Linked DNA regions of Drosophila melanogaster. The gene in region 2 interacts genetically with the main gene of each other region. Each region holds a gene or a part of one and is shown on either strand. Other genes may lie near its edges. The genes, in order: Apc2 and klu.

Region 1 (6,895 bases), on a different chromosome or scaffold from region 2:
TCCAATCGACTGTGGCATGGCAATACTAGTGCCAGTCTCCAGGCGGACGACATGCACTTCATAGAGATTGTGCGCACGTTGCTGCAGATATTCGACGACAACGTGGAAACCTACTGGATAGCAAAGGGATTCTACAAGTACACCCGCGAACTGAAGAAGGAGTGCGTCAAGCTGAAGGAGCAAACGCAGAATATACTGAAGCGCGAAGATTTGTCCTTGCTTAAGTGAGTTTGCATATGGTTAGTCGGGTTATTTGACCAATTTTCTTCGATTACTCCTTATAGTCACCTGGAGCTTCTGGGCCTGTTTGATGGCAACTCAACGCTACTGGATAACTGGTATATAACCTGCTTTGCTGGAATAATCTGTACAACTCATTTGGTCAAGATATGGGACAAAGTCTGTGGAGGGTCCCGGAAGATTGTTGTTTTCCTGTTTGTAGAACTAGTTAAGGACATAAGGTCCTCGATACTAAAGCAAACATCTTTAGCAGACGTCAAAAGACTTATAGAAACGGTAAGTAAATAAGGAAACCATTTGCTAAGCCATAACTTATCCAAAATTTGCCTTAGGTAAAGGATCTTGACGGTGTTATTATCGTAAACAAGGCCATCAAATCACTACAAAACAACAGCAGCGAAGTCGAGTACACGCACTAAGTAAATCTACACTTTTATATTGGACATGTATATAGCAGAATGAACTAAATGTATTTGAAGACCACGTCCTTTTTATCGCCCACCGTTTGCAGTTCCAAGGTCACTGGACACTGCATCCAATAGGAGAGCAGCTCCTCCGTGTAACCAATAAGGAAGTACATTTTTCGCGGTGTAATCGCCTGCCGAATAAGGGCCGCGATCCTAATGGTGTTGTGCTGTCGCTTGATAATGACCTCGGAGCAGACGAGGGCATGCCATGTGCCGGTGACAAACTTGCGGATGAACACATCCTCTATGGCGGTCTGGGACGGACGCAGGGCATCCTTCATTGTTGCTAAGATAGAAGGTGGCCATCAAAATGCTTCCTTAATAAAATTTTCTCACAACTTACACGTGTTCCATGAGTTCCACGATTTGCGGTGGCCAATAAAATGCGGCGGATTGGCCATCTCGTAGGTAAGAGGCCTGTTTCGCTTTGTGGTTATGCGGTATCGCCCGGATTGCACGCGACAGCACACGGAGCTGGTGTGGAATCCTGACCGGCTGAGCTGCTGCACCTCGGTCGCCACCTGGGGCAACAGCTGCAATAGATTAGGTTATTTTAATATATAATTTGTCCTGTTTGTTGTTATTTAACACACCTTTTTCAAGAAGTTCATTATTTTGCGGCAGAAACAATTTTGCGTCCAGCAACAGCTGATTGACGTGACGTAACGGTTCGCTAGAGATGGACAAATTTATAGATAAGTATTCGATATTATTATTGTGTAGTGAAAATATTTTCTATAAAATAAAAAACAACATTGAAGGAAGTAGTTAAATAAAAACACAGAAAGATTAATTTTTAGTTGTGTAAATGCCCTTTTTAGTTCTTAAATGCAATACTTGGATCTCTATTGCATTGATTAAAATCGATTTTTATTTTGTTTTAAAGCGGGGCAGAGTTGTCAACAGTTGTCGGTGGGAAAATGTAATAATGTAATGTAATAAAATTATTGCACGCTTATTTAAAATATATAAATAAACAACATTTTGAGAGCTTCCTTAATAAATAGAGTTAACTTTGTATTAATCCCTTTATTCGAAAGAACTTTGACTGATCATTGAACTTGGGCAGAACTAGCTATAAATTAGCTTAATCGGTAGCACTGGAGCGCTGAGCCTGCGCGCTTGGAAAATGGCTTAAACGCAGGCCATCTCAAACAAAGATCGAGGATCTCAGATCAGAAGGAACTACCTGTTGAAGCGACCGTGCAACAGGACTCATCCAGAAGCAAAGCTGCAAAGGTTTATTCCCAGAATCCCTGGTATCCGAATGCACTAATAGGTGAGGATACATTCAAAGTAATGACGCTGAACGAGAGCGACGCTACTCGCCTGGAGCTGACGCGCAACTTCCTGGAACTGTCTCGAAATCCGGAAACATGCACCGCCCTGCGCAGCTCGGACTGTATCCAGCTTCTGGTGCAGATTCTGCACGCCAACGACGAAGGCCTCTCCACGGCGAAAAAGTACGCCAGCCAGGCGCTGCACAACATCGTCCACAATAATCCGGAGGAGAAGGAGCGCCAGCGGGAGGTGAAGATGCTGCGCCTGCTGGACCAGATCCTCGACTACTGTAACTTTCTGCACACCCAGTTGCAGAGCGGCGGTGAGGCTATCGCAGATGATGAAGATCGTCATCCGCTGGCGGCTATGAAGCTCCTGATGAAAGCCAGTTTCGACGAGGAGCACCGCCAGACTATGTGCGAACTGGGAGCCCTCAAGGCGATTCCCAATTTGGTCCACCTTGATCATGCGGTCCATGGACCGGCTGCCGGTAGGGAACAGTGCAACGCCCTCAGGAGCTACGGCCTCATGGCCCTCACGAATCTCACCTTCGGAGACGAGAACGTCCATAACAAATCGTATCTGTGCGGTCAGCGACAGTTCATGGAAGTGGTCATTGCTCAATTGAACACGGCTCCGGATGAACTGCTACAGGTGAGTTTAATCTTGGAGATTAAGAAAAAAAGATCGTAATTTAATTACCGTTGATCTCATCAGGTTCTTGCTGGTGTGCTTCGCAATCTTTCGTGGCGCGCGGACAAACACATGAAGACTATCTTTAACGAGCTGGGTACTGTGACCTCCTTGGCTCGAGCAGCCATGCAAAACAAGAACGAGAACACTCTCAAGGCCATACTTTCAGCCCTTTGGAATCTCTCAGCGCACTGCAGCACCAACAAGGCGGAGTTTTGTGCAGTAGACGGAGCACTGGCATTTTTGGTCGGAATGCTTAGCTACGAGGGTCCGAGTAAAACTCTTAAGATCATCGAAAATGCAGGCGGCATTCTTCGAAATGTATCGAGCCATATTGCGGTGTGTGAGCCGTACCGACAAATCCTAAGACGGTACAATTGCCTTGCCATTCTGTTGCAACAGTTGAAATCGGAGAGCCTAACCGTGGTAAGCAACTCCTGCGGAACTCTGTGGAATCTCTCGGCGCGCTGTCCCGAGGACCAGCAATACCTCATTGACCACAATGCCATCCCGCTCTTGCGGGCCCTAATCAGCTCCAAGAACTCCATGATTGCGGAGGGCAGTGCCTCGGCTTTGAAAAACCTAGTTAATTTCAGGGCCACTCAGGAGCTTATGCCCAATGGAGATGGTGGGTCACTGCCACTAGACAAGGAAGCTGGCCATGGAGGTACGCTGCCACGGAGATTCAGCTCACTGCGCCTAAGCTCAAATCCCACGGGATCGCTTAAGAAAGTGCGACCCTCAACAGTCAGCACAACTGGCTTTCTGAACAGAAAATGTGAGAGCCGAGAGTCCATTTACTCGGGCAAATCCGATTCCACTAAATACTCAACCAAGTCGGAGGGAGCGAAGAATCCCTTCGAAATTGTGACACCCACTGAAGAGCAGCCCATTGACTACTCCATGAAGTACATGGAGCACAAACCCAATAGCAGTAAGACCTTTGAGATCGACTTGGATCAGCCAACGGATTTCAGTGCTAGATATAAGGAGAGACGATCCGCTCAGACGGCACAGCCGGAGCTGAAGTCGGAGACCAATGAGATTAGAAGTAAGGAGTTGCAACTGACAAAGTCCTCCTCGGCCACGGAGCTGCGCAATAGTCCTGGCCTGGTGGCGGTTTCAGCAGCTAAGCAGAAAATTGCCACCGAAACGGAGACGGAAACGGCAGAGCGACCAATAAACTACTGTGAAGAAGGGACTCCCGGCAGCTTCAGTCGCTTCGACTCGCTCAACAGCCTCACAGAGAAACCGGAGAAATGTATGCCGCCAAAAACTCCAACGAAAACTGCGGTTCTCCCGGTGCACGTTGACGGAAATACGCCTCAAAACATCGATTCCGCACTAGAAACTCCATTAATGTTTTCGCGTCGCAGCTCTATGGACTCATTGGTTGGCGACGACGAAACGGTTGCCTGCGAGGACAATGGATCCGTGATCAGTGAATACAGCCGGATGCAGAGTGGTGTTATTTCCCCCTCAGAGCTGCCCGATTCACCCACCCAGAGTATGCCTCAATCTCCGAGAAGGGACAGAAAAGTGTCCACTCAAAATAACTTGGACACACCTGAACAGAAGCCCAGTACTGTGTTTGAGGACAAGTTGAACAGATTCCACGTGGAGCACACGCCTGCTGCCTTCTCCTGCGCCACCAGTCTAAGTAATCTGAGCATGATGGACGACTCTAATGCAAACGCTATTCGAGGACAGCGTGGAAATGACATCAACGGCAATGGGGATGCTCCTCGCAGCTATTGCACAGAGGACACTACTGCCGTGCTTTCCAAAGCGCCAAGCAATAGTGATCTGTCCATTTTGTCCATCCCGAATGATCTAAATGCGAATGAAGCGCAGCCAGTGCCTGCTCCGCGAGCTGATGTTACCGGAATGGACACTCGGATGCCGGCAGAAGATGCAATCTCTAAGATGCGCTGCGGTGGCAATGCATTGCCCAGTTATCTGCCAGTGTCGGATGAAATGAGCAAGTACTATGTCGAGGACAGTCCCTGCACGTTTTCGGTCATCTCGGGACTATCCCATCTCACTGTTGGCTCTGCTAAGGCTGGGCCTGTTCTGAAGCTGCCAATGAGGACTGCAGAAGAGGCTCAGGCACCCAAACTTCCTCCCAGACGTAGTGCCGTTCAAGGAGATGCGGAGCCACGCTTACCGCCGAAGAAAAGCGACTCACTGAGCTCATTGTCCATGGACTCGGATGACGACTGTAATCTTCTAAGTCAGGTGAGAAAAGGATACTTCATTCAAAACACTTGATATATTTCACCATATAAACATTTTGTGAGAGACTCACTCAAAAATAAGTGTCTTTGTAGATTTAGCAATCGGAATGTTGATATTTCACAAAAGTTAAATTTAAAATGCAGTCAGAAAATTCTCGCTAAAATCAGAAATATTAAAGTTGTTCCCTCTTTTTATAGGCCATTGCTGCGGGAAGTTGTCGACCTCAGCCCAGCGGTGCCAGTACCAGCTCCAGCCTGGCGAACGCTAGTACCAGCACTCTATGCAGGGAAAATGGGCAGTCAAAGAAGCAGGTGGAGCATGGCGATAAGCCGAACTACAGCTCAGATGACTCGCTAGACGACGACGACGATGATGCACGGTCCAAGTCGCTATTTGAGCAGTGCATTCTGAGCGGCATGCATAAGTCCAACGACGCCTTGGAGTCGGAGGGTGAGCCGCCGGGGCAGCGCCAGGAGATCAGTGCCCGGGATCGATTTGTCAGTAACCAGGTGCGCCAGATTGAGTCCATGTTGGCTGGGCGTCAGCACTAGAAGCGGATGGTTGGTTAATTGAGAAGCGCATGCATTTGTTTAGTGGCTTTTAATCTTGTCTACGCAATAATATTCTCACGGTCTCAATTTTCCTATAGTTCAGATTAAAAATTTGCACTTAAATTTAACTCTCCAACACGTGTAATATTATGTTTACCCTCTCACTAAACAATTAAGGAAACTAAAAAGGGTGATAAGAAATGGGATACAGTCGCGGTATAAATATAAATAAAAGTTGCGATCAACTGAGGTCCGGGTAACTCCTAACATGATGCTACTGTGATGAACTAGCTAGAGAGCTCAGTAGAAACGTTTTCGCGCGTTGCGATCCTTGAAGTAGGAGATGGCGAAGATGGCCACTGCAGCCGCCACGACAACCACGAAGAGAAGGATGAAGAAGATCTTGGCGTTGGACATTCCCGGCTTGGGATCTTCTTTGTGCTCGCGCGGGGGCTCGAATGTCTTGGCATTCGGTATGATATTGGAGCGCCGGATAATCTCATCGTGCTGCGAACAAGAAAGAAAGTAAAAAGATGGTTATTGCAACAAGAAAGTAAAACTGGTTTTCAGTAATATGATATAAATATTATAACACACGGCTTATAAAGATAAACATGATTAGGCATCAAACAATGTGTTTAAAGCCAGCTGCTTAATTATTACAAGTTGCAGCAATTAAAAACAAGTTCACTCTTTTTTCTTTATACGTATACGCAGTTATTGAAACTTAAGTCCGCTTTTGGGTTCCTTGCACTCCTTATCGCGTTAGCCAAATAGCAGACAGCTGAGTAATGCTTACTTCGCTTCCGAAGTTTGGCAAACAAAAGTGAACTTACATTTACGTTCAAGTCCAGGTCATAGAACTTGAAACTGTGAATATCGTGATTGTCGGACAGATCACCCGTCGTCGCAGACATGCCGAAGTGGTAGCCCGTGGGTAGCTCAACGTTGGCCACTACAAAGCAGTTCTTCCATTCGTTGCGGTTCTCCAGATCTGTGGAAACCGACAGAATGTCGTTTTCGTATCGAATGCTAACCAGCGTCTCGTACTCCACATTGCGGAAACGAACTTCGCAGCCGGCCAGCTGAGTGTGCGTTCCATCGCGATCGTGGTCGTAGCTCCAGCTGCCATTGTTCACCATGGCGCTGAGATATGGATGTTGGTGCTACAAATATAATGTTAATACATTTACATTCAATGCCTTGCGTAATGACATACGTTGTGTGGACCATTGTGATTGCTATAGGTGTCCAGAATGATGGCCAGTCCGGAGAAGTGATCCTTGCTGCCAAAGACCGGCCCGGTTTGCATGCGCTCCTTTGTGTACCAAATGGCAAATCCGTCGCCGAACAGTTCAGTTCCCTTGCCGTGCACCTTAAAGCCAACGTGCACTTCCCAATTGCGAGTCATCACGGGCTTTGGAT
Region 2 (4,951 bases):
GTAATATTTAGATCTTAGGTTCCAAGAAACCAGAGCTGAACTCCCTGCTAATTAAAGGGTTGTGATCGGATAGGAGCGCATCTTTGATATCTCCTCCTCCGCGGCGAGGCTCTAATGAAAAACAAAACGTTTATCAAATGCATGATAACGACGCATGTCCAGGGTTCCGATTCCGATGTGGCCCTATCAGATGTCGAAGTATCCACACCGTTGTCGGGGATCGGCATTAACCGCAGATCCCAAAGGTGTTAAGTCACTTGGCAACTGTGACAGACATGACAGTCTTTGTTTTATTGTTTAACGCATTTCAATTAACAACTCCAATGATCTGTCTGATTGTTAGATGGCCGATGGTGTGTCTCTTTTAACGCACACGTGATGATTGAATTTTAATTTTCAGCCCAGCAGCTTGGCCAAAAGCTGTGACCCCTTTGAGCTGGGGGTCCACCTCCACAACCTTTTGTGGCATTTTTTCTGAATCGGGCACGACTAATCCAAATCAAATGGCTTCTCCAAATCAATTCGTTTTCAATCGTTTAAAGTTAATTAACGCGCCAGAATTTTATTTCACTTTACACATTCCTCTTTCACTGCTCCCCAAAATCGTCTCCTTTGTTCTGTAACACGCTTTTGTTTTGCTGTAAATTTATTTTATGTTTTTTCCTTTTAAGCTTTTTGTTTTTTTTCCCTTTATTGTGTGCATTTTCACTGTTTTTTATTTTATTTTGTATTTTTTCTGAGTTTTTTTGTGTTTTTTTTTTGTATTTCGCTCAACGTCTCAATTTCAATGCGCGCTCTTTTGTTGTTTGTATTAAAATTGTTAATTTAAGGCTGTGTCAGAAATAAATTAACCACTGAACCAGGGACCTTAACTCGACCAAACACAGTATATATGGCGTTATTTTCTTTTTTTTTTTTTATTCCGCCCTGTTTCTAGGGAAGGGAGCCGCCACCAGGAGCACCTAGGTGCTTTTGTGTGGAAAATGCAAATTGCCATTGACATCGGGGTCTGAGAAATGGCGTCGTGCGGGTGAGACTCCAACCAGCGAACCACCTGAGACACCATCGCCACCATTGCCCCCCAACTGCACCACCGATGGAAGCCACCGAGTGGCTCCGTCTGTTTTATATGCCAAATGCAGTGGGACAGCGGCAGACGTCGCCGTTCGTCATATAAGGTGCGGTGCGTATAAGTCAGCCGCGTTGGAGGAGCAGAGAAAAAATCACTCGACATATTGAGAAATGTGCAATAGCCTAATGCCCATTTAAGGCAGCACTTTTCATGGCAAGTTGCATTTATCGCCGATCGGATCGGATCGGATCGGAATCGAAATCGGTTTAGAGCGATCGATCAAGCGTTGTGGCTATTGGCGTTTGGCGTTTGCCAGACAGGTCAAAAGCAAAGCAAACGGATTTTGGTCCAGCACTTGATGCAGTAATCTATGCTAATGGGCAAGTGTAAAACATCGCGGAGCTATTATCGCAGAACTGTTGTTTAAGGAACCAACCACATCGAGCAGATGCCTGTAAATGGTATAAATTACCAATGAATGACATACGATTTAATTGCCTCGACTAAGTAGCAACCGCTAGCAACCAGCAACTTGCAACAAGCAACTAGCAACTAGCAACTTGCAACTTCTGTTGCATACAGATCAGTTGATGTTGTTGCTGCCCGTGTCTCGAGTTGCTGGAATTAATTAATATTGCACTTTTGAAGCGCGTGCATACAAATTTGTCAGCCAGACGGGCAGTTCTTCGGCTCAGGTGTAGACAATTGGCATAGTTCACATAGAGAGAGAGAGAGAGAGAGATAGAGAGAGGGAGTGCAGCCCAGCTCTGCTTTTGGCCAAGATGGGCAATTAAAATTCCCCGAGACTGGCTAAAACTGGAAGTGGGAATCTGGAGCTGCAACTGGATGTGAGGAAACTGGGGCTAAGGGTCCTAGTACTATCTTTCTACCAGGCTCTCTATCTCACTCGCTTTTGTGTGCGTCAATTTGCCAGGCACACGATCTGCAGATCGGCGATGTCAAGTTGCTGCTGCGATTGACGTCAATATAGATAGAGTCAATATGGCATGGGAGTGAGATGAGATTGGGATGATGATGATGATGATGATGATGATGATGTGGATGATGCCACTGGAGGGGGCCCGTGCTGATATGGACTCATCATCAGTCCATCATTCATGGGTGCAATCGATTGCAGCACACACATACATATGTACATATGTATATAGCATATAGCCGCCGATCTGATATTACGCTGAGTGTTATGGTAAACCGATCCTATTCGTAACTGGAGCTCAGCTTTTGACACATTTCGACCAACCAAACAGCACAGCTGAGATGGCACTTTATAGTTTTTTTTCTTTCGGCTGTCCAAATGACTAAGCCGTCGGCAAATTGAGCGATCTCGCGAACTCACCTTTAATTTTTTTTTTTTTTTTTGTAGGAGGGGAATTATCCAAGCATTATCCAATTTGTAGCTTTTGCCTTCGGGGTGGCAAAACACATTTAACAAATATTTTTTAGGCTGCGTTGTGTAAACTCTAATTGCTAATATCAAAATATCACACTTCTTTTATTTTTATGTATTATTTGTGCTTATGCTGCGTTTGCGTGTTTGGCTTATTGTGTGTTTTGCGGCTTTAATTGATTTATATTACTTAATGGGCTGTTAAGACACACACTTTTCACTTGATTTTAAATGATTTGGCGAGTTTAGTTTACGGATTTCTAGGCGTTTAGATACTTTGCAGCTTGCCACTATTAGATTTCGAATTGCTGTTGTTGCACGCGCGATCGTTATTGTTGCAGTTGCAGTTGCAGTTGCAGTTTTGGGCTGCAGTTTCGTGCTGTCGTGTTTCGCGGTCTCGTCGCGTCAACGTGCGAATAACAAATAACGAAAACGTACGAAAAGATTTTCACTGCAAGAGGTTGGTTTTCCCGACGTGGCGTCGTCGTCGGCGTCGGCAGAGCTTCGGCAGCAGCGACGGCAACACCGAACCACCAAGACCTATCCAAACCAACCACTGAAACTCTCTTCGCGGAGAGAGAGAGAAAGAGAGTTTTTTGTGTGGCGGGTTGGAGGGGGAGTCTGTAAGCGCACTGCGAAGATTACGTTACGTTCGGATATATTTTCTATATATTTTTCTTTTTTTTTGGGTCCGAAAAAGACGCGTCTTGGTTATTCAGCACTGAAGAATTTGCGGCAGCGCGTGCGGAGCGTCGATGAACCTGAACCGACACTGCCCAGCAAGAAACTGACTTCTGAGTAGAGTCGCCACTCGTACAGCGACGATACCAGGCACCAATACCATCGCACCGAGAGACACCCACACCGAGGCAAACAGGCGGCGGTATCTGTGTGTTAGTGCCGACTGTTGGCCTCTCATTCGCCGGATAAAGTCGCGAGAGAGCGAGAAAGAGCAGCACGTGCAGTGGAGATTTCTCTAGTTCTTTTTTTTTTTTTTGTGTTCCGCTTTTCTCGGTGGGAGCTGCTCGAAGAGCTTCTCCTCCCACTCTCCGCCCGCCCGAGCAGTTGTTGTTTATGGCTGCGTGGGCTTCTAATTGCTCAAAACTCTATGCCAATGGGGGCACTCGGCTGCATTTGGCGCTTTTGGGTCGCCAGTTGCGAGTCGAGCTCCGAATAGGCACCTCCCACTTCCACCGACTGGCGTTATATAACATCGAATGCGAAGATAAGCTAACGAAATCCGAATCCAAGCGGATGTCTTTTCCACTGTCTTGCAGAAGGCGAAGGCAAATAGAAGCAGCGCTCGTTGAATCCTTTGGGAAGTTGGCCGGCTTTTAGGTCACTTTTCGCATCCTTCGAGCAATATATGTCACTTAATTGAGCCCTTTCTTCTTAATACAGCATTTCATTTTCATTTGAGTTCTAAACTAAACTAAACTTACATTGCTCAGAAGCCAAAAAATTTTGATTTATGCGTTTAGTACTTTATCGACTTTAAGGGCCTTCTAATCTTAGAAACAATTACAAAACAATTTCAAATATATAATTTATTAAAATGTTTTACAAATAGTAATAGCAGCGTTTTTAGTTACAGTTTAAAACTCAAACATTCTCTAAAGCAAAAATGTAAATTCAATACTTTTTGATTGAAATTTAATTAGTCTAGTTTTTAATAATTCTTGGCTTTGAACTTATTTTCTTTTAAAAATAATATAATATTCTTAATTGGAACTCTTTTTTGTTTAACTTCGCAAAAAAATTAAAGCGCTACAAAATGATCTAAAATATATATTTGTTTAATTTTAGACTTTCATTTGTACCCATGAAGTTATTTTTGTCTAACATGCATATAAGCCAACTTGCATTATAAGAAAATCGCAGTTGACTGATTTTGAGCCGCATTGAAGGCCCGGATAAAATCGTCGGATAAACTCTCTCACCTATACCACACACACGTTTCGCTCGCACACAGATACAGTTTCGGTCTCTCTCTCTGCGCTCGTGAGAATCGAAATGCCGGCAAAACAACTTCACAGATACGATATCTGAACTTGAAATGCCGATGCACGAGAGAGAGAGAGAGCGCGCTCTCTCTCTCTTTGCACACCGTGTGTGCGGTTGTGTGTGTGGCGCAGCTGCCGAGGTGTCAGTGTATCTGTGTGCGCCTCCATCCAGGTGTGTATGTGTGTGTTTACAAAACAAAACTGAATTGAGAAAAAACCAAAAAAAAGAAAAAACAAAGCAAAAGCATGCCAAGGCAGCAACAACACAATTTGTGAATGAACGAATAGTGGCGCACTCACACACACACGCACACGCAGATACTCAACCCACACCACTATCTCTAAGTGTGTGTGTGTGTGATTGTGGGCAGGGAAAATAAACGCGTTTACGCGATTCGTACAAAATTCGTGGGTCTTTCAAAAAAGAGAAGCACTGCAAAGAGCCAAAAGTGAACGTAGGTGTTTGGC

Evidence for each region.
Region 1: of klu (region 2) and Apc2, changing one suppresses a phenotype caused by changing the other (phenotypic suppression), as found in Drosophila melanogaster (one study listed by BioGRID).

What each region holds. Positions count from the first base shown.
Region 1 is NT_033777.3:24,162,168-24,169,062, forward strand, and holds Apc2 (adenomatous polyposis coli 2), read left to right. Parts: upstream 1-1,798; 5' UTR 1,799-2,006; coding exon 2,007-2,642; intron 2,643-2,705; coding exon 2,706-4,919; intron 4,920-5,116; coding exon 5,117-5,470; 3' UTR 5,471-5,770; coding exon of another isoform or gene 5,771-5,977; 3' UTR 5,978-6,097; downstream 6,098-6,895. Other genes in the region: TBC1d7 (TBC1 domain family member 7), read left to right, coding at 1-224, 285-516, 573-659; mRpS24 (mitochondrial ribosomal protein S24), read right to left, coding at 704-993, 1,051-1,240, 1,301-1,318; CG5510 (uncharacterized protein), read right to left, coding at 5,771-5,977, 6,307-6,636, 6,690-6,887.
Region 2 is NT_037436.4:11,005,921-11,010,871, forward strand, and holds the start of klu (klumpfuss), read right to left. Parts: upstream 3,269-4,951; 5' UTR 2,430-3,268; intron 1-2,429.